Nothobranchius furzeri: one gene and its partners. The protein of the gene in region 4 interacts with the protein of the main gene of each other region in a pairwise test. Links are inferred from orthologs where the notes say so. Each region holds a gene or a part of one and is shown on either strand. Other genes may lie near its edges.

Evidence for each region.
Region 1: the proteins of keap1b (region 4) and E3 ubiquitin-protein ligase CCNB1IP1 interact in binary tests that used the Homo sapiens proteins (3 or more experiments, as listed by UniProt). The two-hybrid records come from large-scale screens. The link is inferred for Nothobranchius furzeri from reciprocal best matches to the Homo sapiens genes KEAP1 and CCNB1IP1.
Region 2: the proteins of keap1b (region 4) and wdr83 interact in binary tests that used the Homo sapiens proteins (3 or more experiments, as listed by UniProt). The two-hybrid records come from large-scale screens. The link is inferred for Nothobranchius furzeri from reciprocal best matches to the Homo sapiens genes KEAP1 and WDR83.
Region 3: the proteins of keap1b (region 4) and 5'-AMP-activated protein kinase subunit gamma-1 interact in binary tests that used the Homo sapiens proteins (3 or more experiments, as listed by UniProt). The two-hybrid records come from large-scale screens. The link is inferred for Nothobranchius furzeri from reciprocal best matches to the Homo sapiens genes KEAP1 and PRKAG1.

Annotation. Positions count from the first base shown.
Region 1 is NC_091742.1:58,868,527-58,872,564, reverse strand, and holds the start of E3 ubiquitin-protein ligase CCNB1IP1, read left to right. Parts: upstream 1-1,226; 5' UTR 1,227-3,171; intron 3,172-3,201; exon of another isoform or gene 3,202-4,038. UniProt on the Homo sapiens protein: Ubiquitin E3 ligase that acts as a limiting factor for crossing-over during meiosis: required during zygonema to limit the colocalization of RNF212 with MutS-gamma-associated recombination sites and thereby establish early differentiation of crossover and non-crossover sites.
Region 2 is NC_091744.1:1,725,329-1,729,339, reverse strand, and holds the start of wdr83 (WD repeat domain-containing protein 83), read right to left. Parts: upstream 2,813-4,011; 5' UTR 2,743-2,812; intron 2,604-2,742; exon of another isoform or gene 2,476-2,603; intron 2,169-2,475; coding exon of another isoform or gene 2,119-2,168; exon of another isoform or gene 2,016-2,118; intron 1,543-2,015; exon of another isoform or gene 1,408-1,542; intron 1,290-1,407; 5' UTR 1,287-1,289; coding exon 1,181-1,286; intron 375-1,180; coding exon 254-374; intron 78-253; coding exon 1-77. Other genes in the region: wdr83os (PAT complex subunit Asterix), read left to right, coding at 2,119-2,168. UniProt on the Homo sapiens protein: Molecular scaffold protein for various multimeric protein complexes. Acts as a module in the assembly of a multicomponent scaffold for the ERK pathway, linking ERK responses to specific agonists.
Region 3 is NC_091743.1:48,654,641-48,658,893, reverse strand, and holds the start of 5'-AMP-activated protein kinase subunit gamma-1, read right to left. Parts: upstream 2,813-4,253; 5' UTR 2,697-2,812; coding exon 2,688-2,696; intron 275-2,687; coding exon 223-274; intron 141-222; coding exon 40-140; intron 1-39. UniProt on the Homo sapiens protein: AMP/ATP-binding subunit of AMP-activated protein kinase (AMPK), an energy sensor protein kinase that plays a key role in regulating cellular energy metabolism.
Region 4 is NC_091747.1:74,212,975-74,216,486, reverse strand, and holds part of keap1b (kelch-like ECH-associated protein 1B), read right to left. Parts: intron 2,462-3,512; coding exon 2,256-2,461; intron 1-2,255. UniProt on the Homo sapiens protein: Substrate-specific adapter of a BCR (BTB-CUL3-RBX1) E3 ubiquitin ligase complex that regulates the response to oxidative stress by targeting NFE2L2/NRF2 for ubiquitination.

The sequences.
Region 1 (4,038 bases), on a different chromosome or scaffold from region 4:
AGACCCTGCATTACACTGAGTGTGCAGAACTATTTGAGTCTTAGTGATGAGGTAAATTTATGACATTGTGAATTTTTATATTCTTTTATTTAGTTAGTTGCCATTGGTCTATGTGTGCTATTAGATAATTGAAATACCCTAAATTGTACATTGTTCACCTGTTTTGTAACTTTATATGTATAACCCAGAAATCCTGTTTAGCTTTGTTCACATTTTACATTAGGGTACTTATTTTTGGTCACACAGGCTAATTGTAATTAGAGGCTGACCGATATATCGGACCGATATATTAAATTTTTTCTACATCTGTCATCGGCCGAAGTTATTTTTAAAAGATGATTAAAAACATAATAAAATCAGGCACCTGTGTGGTAGTGATGGGAATTCCGGCTCTTTTTAGAGAGCCGGCTCTTTCGGCTCCCAAGTGGCTTCTCAGATTTTCTGTTGCGTAGAGTATATTTATCACCAAAAATAATGCAAAACTATACGTAAAATTATTTTATAATGTAAAAAAAGCAATATACCAAATAATTATCATTTATACGGATTTATTAACTAAACACCAAGAAATCTCAACTTTCCGACTGCTGTCGCTCATTTTCTCACCGTCTTCGTCGCACTTTCCTCTCTCTCGCTCGCCTTTTTCCTCCTCCTCATTCCCTCTCATCTCCCTCCGCCCGCATGTGCTCTGCTGTGTGTCTAAAGCCTGGTTTATGCTTCTCCGTCAGCTCCGCAAGGGACAGACACGCATGGATTGACGGAAGCGTTTTGCTTTCATACTTCTCCGTCTCCTGGAGAGTGTTGCAAAGCAATTGCCCGGCAGGACAACAGAGGGCGTAGCGCTGTTCTGTGGTATCCTGTCATGTATCGGTCCAAGATCGTGTGTTTATATTGTGTTTTTGTGTATATAAGAGACTTTTAACACGGACATATTTGTCTCTCATTCTCCCACCTCTTCATGCGCTCCCCACCTCTAAACCCACGTTTCCTGTCATTTCCGTCCACAAATAAAATGCTTGCTGCGCATCTTTTCACTCCTCCAGTCACGGGAGAATTAAACGTTCATATTTTTAGAGTTTTTTCGCGAGGTATTCTTCAAGCTTCTCCGTGTCTGCCGCTAGTTATCCTCGGCTCTCTTTGCAATGGCGGCGCTGTAAACAACAGCTGCGTCCTGACCAATCACAAGCTTGCGTAATCCGTCTCGTTCGACGGATGTTTAAAAAAGTAGGCTCGACTCCGTACGTACTTGCGTGCCCTACGCAAGGACGGATAATGGCGTTGCGTGTCTCCGCACTGACGCAGACGGAGAAGCATAAATCAGGCTTGAGTCTGATCCTCCCTCTTCCCCGCCCCTACTGCTCTGTAGCACACAAGGGGGTGTGTGTGACAGCTCCCAATGACGAGCCGGCTCCCGTCATTCACTTGATAGAGCCGGCTCTTAGAGCCAGTTCGTTAGCAACCGACACATCACTACTGTGTGGCCAACTTCCGCCACTACTAGACTGAAGAAAGGCCCCAAAGGACCCCAACCAGGGCTGGACTGGCCTATCTGGCATTCTGACACTGTCCCAGCGGGCCGCTTAGCCAAGTGGGCTGCTTGTGATCTGCAGAACATTAGCTACATGCATGGACGTAATTTTCACTTTAGAAGTGGGGGGGACACGGGGGTGGGGGTATCTTTACTGTATGTTCTAATGGGAAACAGGCTTAAACACAAACGGTTGTTTTCTGCTTGGTCCTAGAGCTCAACCAGTGTCAATTTAATATAAAGTAATATTGTTTTTGGATGGTAAAAAAAGCAGGGGTCAAAACTTCACTTTGGAAAAAGTGGGGGGGACATGTCCCCCCTGTCCCCCCCCAAAATTACGTCCATGGCTACATGGTAACCCGAAGCTAACAGTTTTTCCTGGCGTTTTTAGCAAGAAAAGCACGGTAGAGCGATGACGTAGGAGTTGTTTTACCACGTTAGCGTGTAGCTAATGTCCAGCTGATCTCCGCCCATGGCGAGCGAGCTGATCTGGAAGGCCAGGTCTCCCGGCCGCAGCGGTCTGGCCCTGCTTGTAATTTAACAGTCCCAGTCCATATTAGATCTCACATTCCGCCTAGAGACGAGTCCGCGGGGGCAACACCCCCCACCCCCACCGCTCTCCCAATTCGGAGGGCCGACGATTCGTAAAAATGCCAGGGCCGAATTTTGGTCCCAGTCCACCCCTGGCCCCAACACGCAGTTTTTTTAATGTTTTGAGTTTGTTTAATATTTGAAGTTTAATATTTTTAGATGTCGGCCATCAACAACAAAATTCTTTAAAAATCAGTATTGGCATCAGTCTAAAAAAAAAAAGAAATATCGGTCGGCCTCTAATTGGATTGTTAAGTGTCATTGTTGCATGTAGAGCGGCCACTGCAAAAATATAACTCAATTGATATCACGTAATAATGTGATAATTCATTCATTTATCAAGCACCTTCCTGCCACCAATCAAGACAGCCTGAAGTGCTGAACATGCTAAAATACATTTAAAAACAATTTAAAAAGACGTAAGAAGAGTAATGGAACCTAATTATAAAAGTGCAATACATGAGCAACCACAAAATAAGGCAGTAAGATGTTATGATCATTAAGCTCTGATACAGATAAAACCTAAAACTAATAAAATGAGAAACAATAAAACTGTAGAAATTTTACAATATAGGGCAAGTTAAAGCATCGACCAGATAAGAACAATAGTAAGGCCTATATGATGCTATGAATCTGTAGTGCAGTTTCAGGTTTGTCTAGCAGAAGGCTTAGTTTTTTTACAGTGTTTGGGGCTAACAACATAATTTTCATGTTCTTACAATATAATATCAAGTTTTTGCAATATACATGTTTATCACACGTGCACATTATAATGATATGAAGTGCAATATGCTTATATGAAACAAATATACATTATCACATTTCTGGGTTAGGTTACAACATATTATTTTCCAAATGTGAAGACTGTAATGTTAAATTAATGATAACATCGTTCAAATTTTATTTTGCGTGGGTGGTAGTTCTACTTTACTTTACATTAATAAGGAAAATGTTTTCTAGTGCAGAGATTTGGGACTGTAATCAGCCAATCACATTACAGGAATGATAACATGTGATTTGCTGCCAAGCCGCGCGCGAGAGAAGTACAACTGGTAAATTGTCTAAATAAATTATTTTTAATGCCAAAGTAATGACTGTAACTAAAATATACTTTTATATATACCATGTTCAACCGAATAAACATGATATTTAAACAAAACTAGTTTAGCTCCAGTTAGTGCTGAAGAGTCTGGCTAAATGCTGTTAGCTCACATGCTAATGTTAGCATCTTTTAGCTGGGTTTTAGTTAGCGTGACTAAATAAATATCTTATGTTTTATTTTTAAAAAGCTAACATAAAAAACACCAAAAATTTGTGTGTTTTTACTTTTTATTTTGTTTACAAATGTATTCATCATGAGCAGTTTAGTATTTTAACTGAAAATGTGTCCGGTAACAGAAGTTATCATTCGCAGCTAAAGCCGATGGAAAACAAATACTTAAAATAGAGGATAAAACCGAAAGAACATTACATTGTTTTATATGTGAAATTCAAGTAATTGTATTTAAATCATATTATTACTAAATGTAACTTTTCCACAAAGGACAATAATTTTATAATACAAATTGAAATATTGAGTCAGTTTGGGTCAAATATTGTAGTCACAGACCTCTGATAAGCACATTATTGCAGTTGTGTCTAAACCTGGTCCTCTAGGGTCCCTATCCAGTGTGTTTTAGTTGTTTACAGGTTGCATCACCTGTTCAGCAAGCTTTTTAATTACCCACTGATTAAAATCAGGTGTGTTAAGGCCGAAAACCCCTCTAAAACATGCTGATAGGACCCTCAAGGGGAAGAACTGGAGTTTAATTCATTGTAATTTACCTAAATAATTTAATCTTAAATTAAAACAGTAAAATTTAAATATTTTGTTATGAATCCTTCAAATTAAACAAGTTCAAGCACCAATGTGTGTGCTT
Region 2 (4,011 bases), on a different chromosome or scaffold from region 4:
CCTGGCCTGTTGCTACGTCCCACAGGATCACGCTCTTGTCGGAGCTGCAGGAGCAAATCTGGCTGTTGTCGTATGACCTGTGGAAGCAGTCAAAGAGGGAAAAAAAGGTCCATCAAGGCTCAAAAGGAGTTTAGTAAATAGATGACTGAAGTGTTTGTGTTCTTTCCATCATGGATCGGAAAAAAAATCACCTGAAAACAACATTTTATTATTCCTGAAATACTGAGGAAGAAAATGAGAGCAAACGTCTCACCCATCTGCATCCAGAACCTCGTATCCATGACCGCTGTACGTCTTCAGGAAGGTCCCCTGACTCACACTCCATAACTTCAGCGACTTGTCGCTGCCGCACGACAGTACATAGTTTCCGTCAGCTGGTTAAAAATAAGGAGGAAAACAATCATGTTTATTATTATTGTTGATTTCAGTCAAATCTTTGCATGCGACCAATTTCATAAGAGTGCTTTTCATTTTAAGCCACTTCCTACTGTAACATCAACAAAATAAAAGCCCTAAGTAAAGGTGTATTAAGTGTTGTCAGTACACGACCAACAGCTAAGCAAAAAGGAACATTTTACACCAATAAAAACAATGTTTTATGTTTATGTATTTAGCAGACGCTTTTGTGCAAAGCGACTTACAAGTGATAATCGGCATGTTGCCCTTGAGGCTAACAACAACAACAACAACAACTTGACATCTTTTCTTACATAAGTCATTCATTTGGGGCAAAAGGCTTAAAATATAAGACTTTATACATACATACATATATGTGTATGTGTGTGTGTGTGTGTGTGTGTGTGTGTGTGTGTGTGTGTGTGTGTGTGTGTGTGTGAATGCAAGGGACTAATGGTTTATGATTAGGCATTAGCCAGATGGATAATGGATTCATCAAATTATTTTAATATTCTCAACATTAAACACTAACTATATTTTGTGTTTATTGCAGTGCTGCTACTAGTAGATTTTAATGAAGAATCAGGTACAAAGATGTATGGAGGAAAAGCCATTCAATAACAATAAAAGTAAAAACCATTTGCAAGATCACAGAAATTGTAAACACAGATTTAAACATTACTAAATGATTAACAAAAAAAGACAGGTTTGGTTCTTTGGAAGTTTGTTTGTATTTTGGCATAAATAGTAAATATCAGGCTTCAAGAGGGGTTTTAAAGTTTACCGTTAAAGCGAACAGCCCTGACAGCTCCTTGCTGGCAGTCAATGGTCCGGAGAAGATGCTGAGGAAGCTGAGGAGCCTGAGGTTTGGGCTGAGGGAACGCCATCATTACCTGTGAGGAGAAACAATCATCGGTCACCCACAATATCCTCAAACTGTGTCATTATGCTGTGCACGAGCTAGTTTCCGGTAATAAAAAGCGTTTTAATAATCAACATGAAAAAACGTACCTACGCTATCTGTTAGTCATGTTAATATATTCAAAGCGAAGCTAGAAGTTTAATACTAGAATATTTTAAACCACCAACGATACATGTTTGCTAAGTTACAACGTCTTCTTCTTCTTGTTCATTGGCGGGTGGCGGTCGATGCTGGCAACCAACTTCTAGGTGCATTTCCGCCACCTTCTGTGTGGGAGTATGAGTCGCATTAGGGAGAAACGGAGAAACTGTTCTAATTAAATTCTATATATTAAATTACCAGTCTTTAAAAATTCAATTAGTAATTTATACACATCTAATCCTCCAATTAATATATTCCTCAAATTCAACTTTTCATTATCTTTCATCTTTAATTGTCTAGATAATATTTTCCTATTCTTTATATATTTGTCACATTTACACAGTACATTTTCTACCGTTTCTCTATCCTTTCCACAGCCACACATTCCTGTATTATGTTTTCCTATCATAAAGAGTGTACTGTTTAAACCCGTATGCCCCATTTATACTGGGTTATTTTGTTCTTTTCAAAATAAAATATTAAATATTTTACCTCCATGTTAGTCAATGCAAAAAAACATCTTGAACTCTTGTTTTGAAATTTAGCGGAAATAATTTTCTGATCTCGTTTCGTCACTCACCGCGAGGCCGATCAGCTGTCCGTCGGTCACTTTAAATTTATTTTATTTGCTTTTTAACAAAGGAGATTTGGGGGCAAAAATGTCTTCCAATAGCACGACAGATCCGAGGAGGCTAAATAAAATTATACGGTAGGTTTTCCCCCATCAATCAGACAAATCTACACCGAAACTAGCCATAATTGACAACGAGCTAGCAGCCTAGCTAACCCTTCCTCACTAGTGATACTTTGTAATGGGAATTAGCTTTAGCTTTGAAATTATGGTTTACACTTTCTCATGGAGTCGACATTTCTACTCGTATGTTATTTATCAGCATTCAAGAAAATAACTCAATTCATCAGTTTGGGAGTCTTTCGCACAGCGTGTAATTTAATTCTTTTTTAAATTTATTAAGTCAAAAAATAATGAAACCACAGCTAATCTGATCGGATTTTACCTTTCACTTGTTTTAACTTCTTTATCATCTTTATTTCCGTACTGCAAAATCTTGTGACATTTTAGTCAATCCTTTCTGTGATTTCTTCTTCACACAGGTTGAAAAAACGAATCAGAATTCTTCAAGTTGACGTGGCAGCAGCGTATTTCTCTCATTGTTTGATTAAAACTTGACCTATGTGGCAGATTAGTGGAAACACAAACACAGACCCACCATGAGTTTGTTTTTTAAAGATAGTAGATGTCACACTACAGGCTGTTTACTTACCCTAGTGTCTATTTTACAGCAGGACCGAGCGCAATTTGTGGCAGCGGCAGCGCTTGTGGCACTTGCAGTGGCAGTTCTGATACTTCCGGGTGGTGCCACGGCTTTTAGTGGCACCCGCGGCTTTTAGTGGCACTAGCCACGCCCCCTACCACTGCTGCCATTACACTTCCGGGTGGTGCCACGACTTTGCACTAGCCACGCCCCCTACCACTGCTGCCATTACACTTCCGGGTGGTGCCACGACTTTTAGGAGTAAGGTCTAGCTGCGGACATTGCCCAGGAAAAACGTTTTTCCTGGGCAATGTCCGCAGCTAGGTATTATTGGATTATTGACTTTTAGTGGCACTAGCCACGACCCCCTACCACTGCTGCTCTTGACTTTTAGTGGCACTAGCCACGCCCCCTACCACTGCTGCCATTACACTTCCGACTTTTAGTGGCACTAGCCACGCCCCCTACCACGACTTTTAGTGGCACTAGCCACGCCTCCTACCACTGCTGCCACGGTACCTGCGGCTGTAGTAGTGACCTCAGTAATTGCAGCACTTATTGCATCATCGGCCTCATCATGCCAACGTTTTTATTTTTTACTTTATTAACAAAATCAAAACAAACAAGGCTGTCACCGAAAATATTTGAAATATTTCAAGCGGTTTACAAATGCGTTTCCCAGTCACTTCATGCATATACAGTGTAATGCAATCAGAAGCGTTAATGCATTTATTTTTTCCATCATTTTTGTTGCTCCCCCAGACGAATCCGTGACAGATCTAGTGGAAGATCCACAGACACTTCCGGGTGGAAGACCGGCGGTGGGTCACCGGCCTCCGGTACAGAGTCAGGAAAAGCAGGGGAGCACCAGAGCTAGATGGAGAGCGCCAGAGCAGTTCTCAATTTCTGAAATAATTTATGACAACTGCTACCAATGTGGATTGTGGAATAAAAAGAGATAAACTGTTAGTTTTCTCAATATTGTCATTGCAATCGGGGCAGATACCGCCATCTGCCGGCTTAAAATGGTTATTGCAGTACATTTTAAACTTTTTTAAAACTATTTCAATCTTCGTTTTCACATACATTCAGTTTACAATGTAACCTACATTCAACGTACTGAAGAATAAAGCAAATAAAAATGACCTCAGTTGAGGAAAATAAAAATTACATTTAGAATTTGCAACAATTACCACATGACACTACACCATAAAATAAATCATGATGCAAAATAATAATAAATTAAAAATGAAATATAATCAACAAACAAAAATTGTT
Region 3 (4,253 bases), on a different chromosome or scaffold from region 4:
TATTCCACTAACATTTACAACCATGTTCATTTGCTGTACCTGGAGTGAAGTATCAAACACAACTAATTTGGAGCTTGTGGGTACAAGATCATAACAACGATGGGACTTCATAAACCTGGTGTATACATTACGGTCTCGGTCTAAAGAAATGAGAAAGCCTCTAATGAAAACACTCGCTTGCCAGTGTTTTAGAAACAAAACAAAAAAAAAAAATGTCTTTACCACCAATGAATGGATCCTTTTTGCTCTCGATGTCATCAATAGTTACTGGAATCTGTAAAAATACATTATTAAAAGTTAATTAAGTTTTAAAATTGCATTCCTTTTAAAGCATTCTCCTGTAGAAAAGGTCAAGGTCAATTTTATTTATAGAGCGCATTTACAGCAGCAAAGCTACACCCAAAGGGCTGTACAAGGTAAAACAAATCAACAATAAAAACCTAAAATAAGATGAGCACACAACAGTCACAATTTATAATTAAAACTGTTAAAAACTATTAAGATGCTCAAGTCAACCTGCATTAAAAGCCAGATAAAAAAAGTGCATCTTAAGAAGGGATTTAAAATGCTCTAGATTCTGTGTGGTCCTGATGTTGAGAGGTAATAATAATAATGCATTGAACTTATGTAGCGCTTTTCAAGACACCCAAAGACGCTTCCACACACTCTCACATTCACACACTGCTAGTGATGGTAAGCTACTTGTAGCCACAGCCGCCCTGGGGAGGTCTGACAGAGGCGAGGCTGCCATTTGGCGCCGTCGGCCCCTCTGACCACCACTAACACAGGCAAGTTGGGTGAAGTGTCTTGCCCAAGGACACAACAGCAGGATACCCCTGGCGGGAGCTGGAATCGAACCCACAACCCTCCGATCATGAGGCAACCTGCTCTACCACCTGAGCTACAAGGTAGCTTGTTCCACAGTTTGGGACCAACCACAGAGAAAGCTCTGTTGTCGCGAGTCTTATGGCGGATTTTTGGAACTGTTAAAAGAGCTTGAGAGCTGGACCTCATGGTTCTGGCAGGGACGTAAGCGGACAGCAGCTCAGAGATGTAAAATGGGGCCAGGTCATGAAGGGATTTAAAAACAAAAAGTAAAATTTCGAAATGGATCCTGTAAGAGACAGGAAGCCAATGGAGAGAGGCCAGAACCGGGGTTATGTGATCCCGCTTGCTGGTGCCAGTCAGCAAGTCGGGCCACTGCATTTTGGACCAGCTGAAGCCGGTGTAAGGAGGACTGGTCCATACAGGGAGAAAAGTCCAAATTGCACTTTTGAGACTTTTACCATTAATTACAGATGATTATTCCATTTATTTGCCTTGAATGGCAGCTCTCGTGGCTGCCTGTATCGGTTTTGTTCTATATGTTTTGTGTGTGTAACCTTGGTCAGGCTGTACTGCGGAGACACATTTCTGTGCTTCTGGATGCTGGAGCACTGACAATAACACTCTACCACTAGGCCATCTCAGTGGGCTGGCCTAGTGGCAGAGTGTCTGCCCTAAGACTGGGAGATCAGGGTTTGATTCCTGGTCGGGTCATACCAAAGACTTTGGAAAAAAATGGGACCCAATGCCTCCCTGCTTGACAATCAGCATTAAGGGGTTGGATTAGGGGGTTAAACCACCAATTGGTTCCCGAGCGCTGCCGTGTCTGCAGCTCACCGCTCCCCCAGGGGATGGATCAAATGCGGAGAACAAATGTGGCACACACATCAGTGTGTGTGACAACTAATGGGACTTTATTCTGATTCACGCAAAATGTAAAGAAAATCAAACCTGCACAACTTAGCCTTGGCTTGAAATTGCAAAATATATTGTTATTTATGCACGTGCAGTTTTCCTAGCGTTCTTCTTGAAAAGTAAATTATATTTGATTGACATCAAATATTAGATATGCAAAATGAAGTGTGCACTGGAAATTAAAAGAGAAACGACGCGGTTTGGCTCAAAGCATTCTACGTGTAATAAGCCACATTACTACTTCTGCATTTTAGAGCATTCCAGATAATTGGTACGTTCAAGTTGCAGAAATAATTTGTAACGTGTATAGCTGTTGAATGAAAAAAAAAGGGACAACCGATAGAAAAGCCTTAGCCTAGTGAATCCACGGTGGTGGACAGACTAAAGGTTAACTAGACAAACTAAAATGTCTCGATTAATCATACACTTCGTGGCACGTTCGAGTTAGTATATCAAGTTGTTTGCTGAACTTGAAGTCACATTTGAGACAAAAAGACGACCTGTTTTTTCTGATAAACAGAAAAAGGTCTGCATCAGACACTCATAAAGAGTCTCTGATGCAGCTAACTGTACTATATTATGTCGACACCAATCAAACTTCTTACATTAATTACTATATATATAAAAACTACATCACTAACGTTAGCGTGTTAGCCAGCGACACAATCGATCAAAAAGCCAGCTCAGGTGAGACTTTCTTTCTACTCGGGCGTTTTATATATATTAGTAAGCTTGGCAAAACTTTATGTAACGCGTTCAATATATGTATATATATATTTTTTTTTTATTACAGTTGCTCAAGTAATAATGTGCTTTCTTAACAAACCAGCAGACAGATAGCGTGCTAACTAGCTGCTAATATTAGCATCCAAAACAGAAAAAGTTAGCTTTGTTATTTAGAGGCTTTGTTAAAAGTAAAAACGTGTAGTAGCGAGCATTTTACTTACACACTCCATGTTCCATTGACTGAGTCGCTTTTACGGCTGTCCGACTCGAGTCCGACCTCACGAAGCCGGAAGCCCTAACACGTCTTCTTCCGCTGAGTGAATGGAAGGTTACCGTAATAACCATAGTGTTGCCGCACCACACAACACATTTCGCAGATTTTATTTTTTTTTACATTATCGTAATAAGAAAGATGATTAGGGTCACTGAAAAAGGGGGGGGGGGGGGGGGAGAATTCTGACTAATCTCAGGATTCTGGTATTTTTCTCAGAATTTCGACTTTAATCTCAGAATTATGACTTCAATCTCAGAAATCTGACTTTTGTTTCAGAATTCTGCCCCCCCCCCCCCCCGGATTATTAAAGTCAGAATCCTGAGGTTCAGAAATATCAGAATTATGAGATTAAAGTTAGAATTCTGAGATTAAAGTCCGAATTCTGAGAAAAATTCAGAATTCTTGGAAAAATCTGAATTCTTTCTTTTCTTTTCAGTGGCCCTAATCATCTTCTGTAATAATCTGAATTGCTTTAATTTTTAATTAAAAACTGCATCTCACTTCTAACTGTCCAAAGCTTAATGTTATTTGTTCAGTTATTAACAAGAAAAAATACTCTATGTAAATATTGAAATATAAATAATCAAGTAAAATCAGACACTTTCCAACATGAGTCACTTATTTATTTACAAAACAGTTTACAGCAAGATTTCTGAATTACCTTTGACCCACAAGGGAATATCAGTGTTCAGGTGCACAACACCTGCACTATTGGTGTCAAGTCAATAGAAGAAAAAAAAACTTTAATAAGAGCACCTTGAGTCAAGGAAAATAAATGAGGAAGTTTGAACTGTAAGGCACAAGACACAGCATCACCAGCTTCTGTTTATCTATCAATCATCTAGATCTGCAAAGCACTCAGTCTTCACTACAGAAAGAACATGAGGCCCACATAGAACAATAATCCAGCCTGTCCGGTCTTTGTAAGGCTGCAACTTTTAATGAAGAAAAAAAAAAAGACCACTACGAGTTCTCAGACTACAGCCTCAAAGGCATAAATGAAAGATAAACTTAAAAATGAATGAGCCAACTTGGCTTTCAGACTCTTTAATGGTCTTGTGAAGTGTTAAAATGTGTTTAAAACCTGAAACCCAACAATTCATATAAGGCTGTACTCTTCTTAGGATCATAAAGAGAGCACAAAACTCATTCAAATATCGACAAGACTACAGTATAAAACAGGGATAACTGGTAAATAATAATCTATTCCAATCTACAGGAAGTGTTCTTCATATACAGTTACTAGGAAAAATTAAACTATGATCAATGGAAACTCATCTGCTTAGCAGCAGATCTGGAACAACACTGTTGTCATGTTGACGGCTCCACAGAGATGATAAAAAGGTCAGAAAACTGTGAAACCACAGTAAAATCTCATGTGAAATATGCAAAAATCCAAAAGATCCGTCTATCGTGATGAAAAGTGAGTTTCCAACAGCACATTTAAATCAGTGTGAACTGTTACAGCATCACTACTGTAATCCAACATCAGCTCTCAACGGGCCTTCGCTGC
Region 4 (3,512 bases):
GGACCGTGGTGCGGGTGGATAGCGGCTTGACCCAGGATGCCGTGAGCTCAGCCACAAAATCCGGGTAAAGTGGCAGAAAGTTCTTTACCTCAGCTGGTTCCGAGGGGAGGTAAAATCCAGAAAAGCGGGACCTCTTTTGTGCAGGTGGAGGAGCGGGCCAGTCCATTTCTAGCCTCCCCGCTTCACGCCGGCAGAGCGGGAGAAAAGAAGTGTCCTCTCGCAGCTCGCAGGCTGAAGTAGCGACCGGAGCAGAACACTCCACCGCCGAGAGGACCTCCTCGTCCTCGAGTAAGTCCTGACCGTCGGGGCAAATGTCCAAAGTGTCTCCTTCATCCTCTGCCAGAGGAGGAAACTGAGAAGCCTTTAGGTCTGGTCCGGTTAAATTGTCCGCCATCTCCATCTGATCTGCCCAGCTAGTAGCGGGGACATTGATCACTAGGCTGTCCACGTCAGGGCTAGGCGAAGCCGGGACCGAACGGGAAAGTACGGGGTCCTGCTACGAAACTGCAGCGTCTCCCAGGAGACGTTGTAGAAGCTTCACGCGCCGTTCGAGCGTGGGACGACGGAGTTGGCGACAGAACTCGCATGCCTCTGGCTCCACAAGCTCTCTCCTGGCGTGGAGAATTCCCAGACAAACCGGGCATGCTTCTTGTAGGTCCTTCCCGTGAAGAAGAATCCACAGCCCTGAGGACAGGGGCGCGAAGCGGCTTTCCTTGAAGCAACGTCCAACACAGTGCTCATTGCAAGACACCCAGCGGAGCGAAGCAGAGAAGCTGAAGAGCCAAAAAAGATAGCGCTCGGTGGGCAGGAATGCTAGCCAGAAGGCAGTAGTCCAGTCAGCGAGCGGTTAAGCCATCTTTTAACAGCGCAGCTAGTTGTCAGATGTGTAGTCAGCGAGGTGAAGAGCGTAAGACCTGAGGAATGACAGTGGCCGCTTATAAGTGGAGGGCGGGACCTCCACGCCGCGTCACTTTCATTTGCCTTACAGGCGTGATTAAATGTGTCTTCAGCCAGGCCACACGAGGGCGTGATGTCCCATAGTACCTTCGTTGTACCGAGTGAATCGACTGAAAAGGAACCCTAAATTCATCAGTTTACTTGCTGAGCTGAAGTTGTTTTGGTCATTTTTAACTGCTGCATGAAGTTTTGAGTCATTTGTTGGTGTTAAACCAGAGTAGATTATGGCTAGAGAATCAAACCTGATCCTGAAATGATTCATGTGGGATTACTGCTTTGTTGACTTTCAGAACAAAAGCCCAATTCAATTCAATTCAATTCAAGTTTATTTATGAAGCGCCAAATCACGACAAGAGTCGTCTCAAGGCACTTCACATAATAAACATTCCAATTCAGGTCAGTTCATTAAGCCAATCAGAAATAATGTTTCCTATATAAGGAACCCAGCAAATTGCATCAAGTCACGTGTGAGACTAACTTTAGTTTCAGATGACTTAAGATTTGACCACTTATAAATGTTCCAGACAGCATTCAGAATCTCTAAATTAAAGCTCCATCAAAAACTTTATTTTCTGATCACCATTATTTACAGAAAATGTGCCGACCGAAACATCATAATATATTTACCTTCAACTGAACCATGTTCAGCGCTTTGGGCTTCCTGACAGGGTTGCGGAAGGTGCTTTATAAATAAAGCTTTGATTGATTGATTGATTGATAATTTCACAATGAAAGTTCACCAACTACACAAAGTTTCTGCAGAGTCTGACTTGGTATTTAATGATTAATGTTTTACTATTTAATATCTTCTTGTATTAAAGCCAAATGAGAGACAATGATTTTAGTTGGATCTGAAAAATATATTTCAAAATAAAAGTATCCCATGATAGACTGTAAACCTCATTAAAAGCACTGTTTGGTTCCCGAAGACGAGTTTAGGTGGACAGAGTCTGAGTGAAAACGGATGGAGCTCAAACCCTCGGGTCATAATCTACGGTCGTATTTTTATCCTCTTCTGGTTTCTGGTCATCTGCTTTTACTTTGAAAGCCAAAACTGAACTGTGTGAGAACTGACTATCATCGGTCGATTGATTACAAAATAAAATTTGGCATTTTTTGTGTTTTGGTATCAAAACATTATCTGCCATTTTCCCCATTCTGTTGATTTTTGAATGTTGATCGAAGATGGAAAGAACGGACGACTCATGGATTAACCTGCAAAACCAGTTCTGTAAATTTCCAACATGGCAGTTTGTTGAGTTCATCATTACTCAGCAGTTTTCCCGTTTCCTCCTTACCAGCTCCAGACCGGACGGTGTTCATAGGGGCCATGGTCCTCCACTCGTCCCGCTCAGGGTTGTAGCACTCACAGGAGTTGAGCCGGTTGGCTCCATCAAACCCCCCGACGGCGTAAAGCAGCCTGTTGATCACGGCGACGCCCACACCGATACGGCGCGTCAACATGGGGGCAACCAGCTGCCACTGGTCCCTCTCTGGATCGTACCTGTGACAACCAACACAAGGATCGTTCTGATCATCTGGGAAACGGGATCAGGAACACAAGGAGGTTTATGATTTAGCGTTAGCTTCTACTTCAGTAAAAAGGATGCTGATGTTGTTTTAAGATTTCTGACAGCTTGTAATAAGCAAACTTCTGTCAAACTTTAAATAGTACAGGCACTTCCATACCATCATTCACTCACCTTCTACCCTGCTGTTTGTTACGACGTATGAAGTTGAAACTCATTTTAAAAGACACGTCCATAAAATTAATTTGGCCACATTTCTCACCTTTATATCAGATCAGAAAAGGTTTATTGCCATTGTCAGTGAACAAACAATTCAAAAACTAGGAACTTGCTTCGGTACTAACGTGCTACATATAACATGAATAATATAATTAAAAAATAGAATAAAGTAGAATAAAATATAATAAACTAGCATAAAACTTTGCTATAAAAAATGGCAGGTAAAGGTAATATGGCCGATAACGTGATGTTATGTCAAGTACCGAAGACGAGCATGGTTGTGTGTTTATAAGCTGTTCACAAGTCTAACGGCAGTATAAATATAAACAATATAAACAAGTGGTCAGATCCACACACAGTGTCTAGAAGGTATTTTTAACCGTTTCCCCTTTTTATTCTCAGCCAAGCAGGAACTGTTAGAGGGTTTCTCTTTACAGTTGGAGGAAGAAGCCATCATAAGCCTGAATGAACGAGTCTTTAACTGTACAGCACGGATTCCTCTGATCAGTTTAACCATTCAGTTCCGCTGCGACGGGTCACATGTTTGGCTTCGGTGACGACTCAGACTCGAGGGGGTTGTTCCTCTTTCACAGGAACCGTAGTTTGTCGGGTTAACGTTTGACATCTCTGACTGAAGTCAGAGTTAGAAACAGTTACTACCTTCAGCCAAGATTTCTTAGTAAAAAGGAATCACATAACACACACGCGCACACACACACACACCAGGTGTTTAGCCCAGAGCAAATCTTTTAGAGTAAATAAAAAAAGTTGATTAAATTCTGTAACTATTGTACGTTCCTGAGCTTT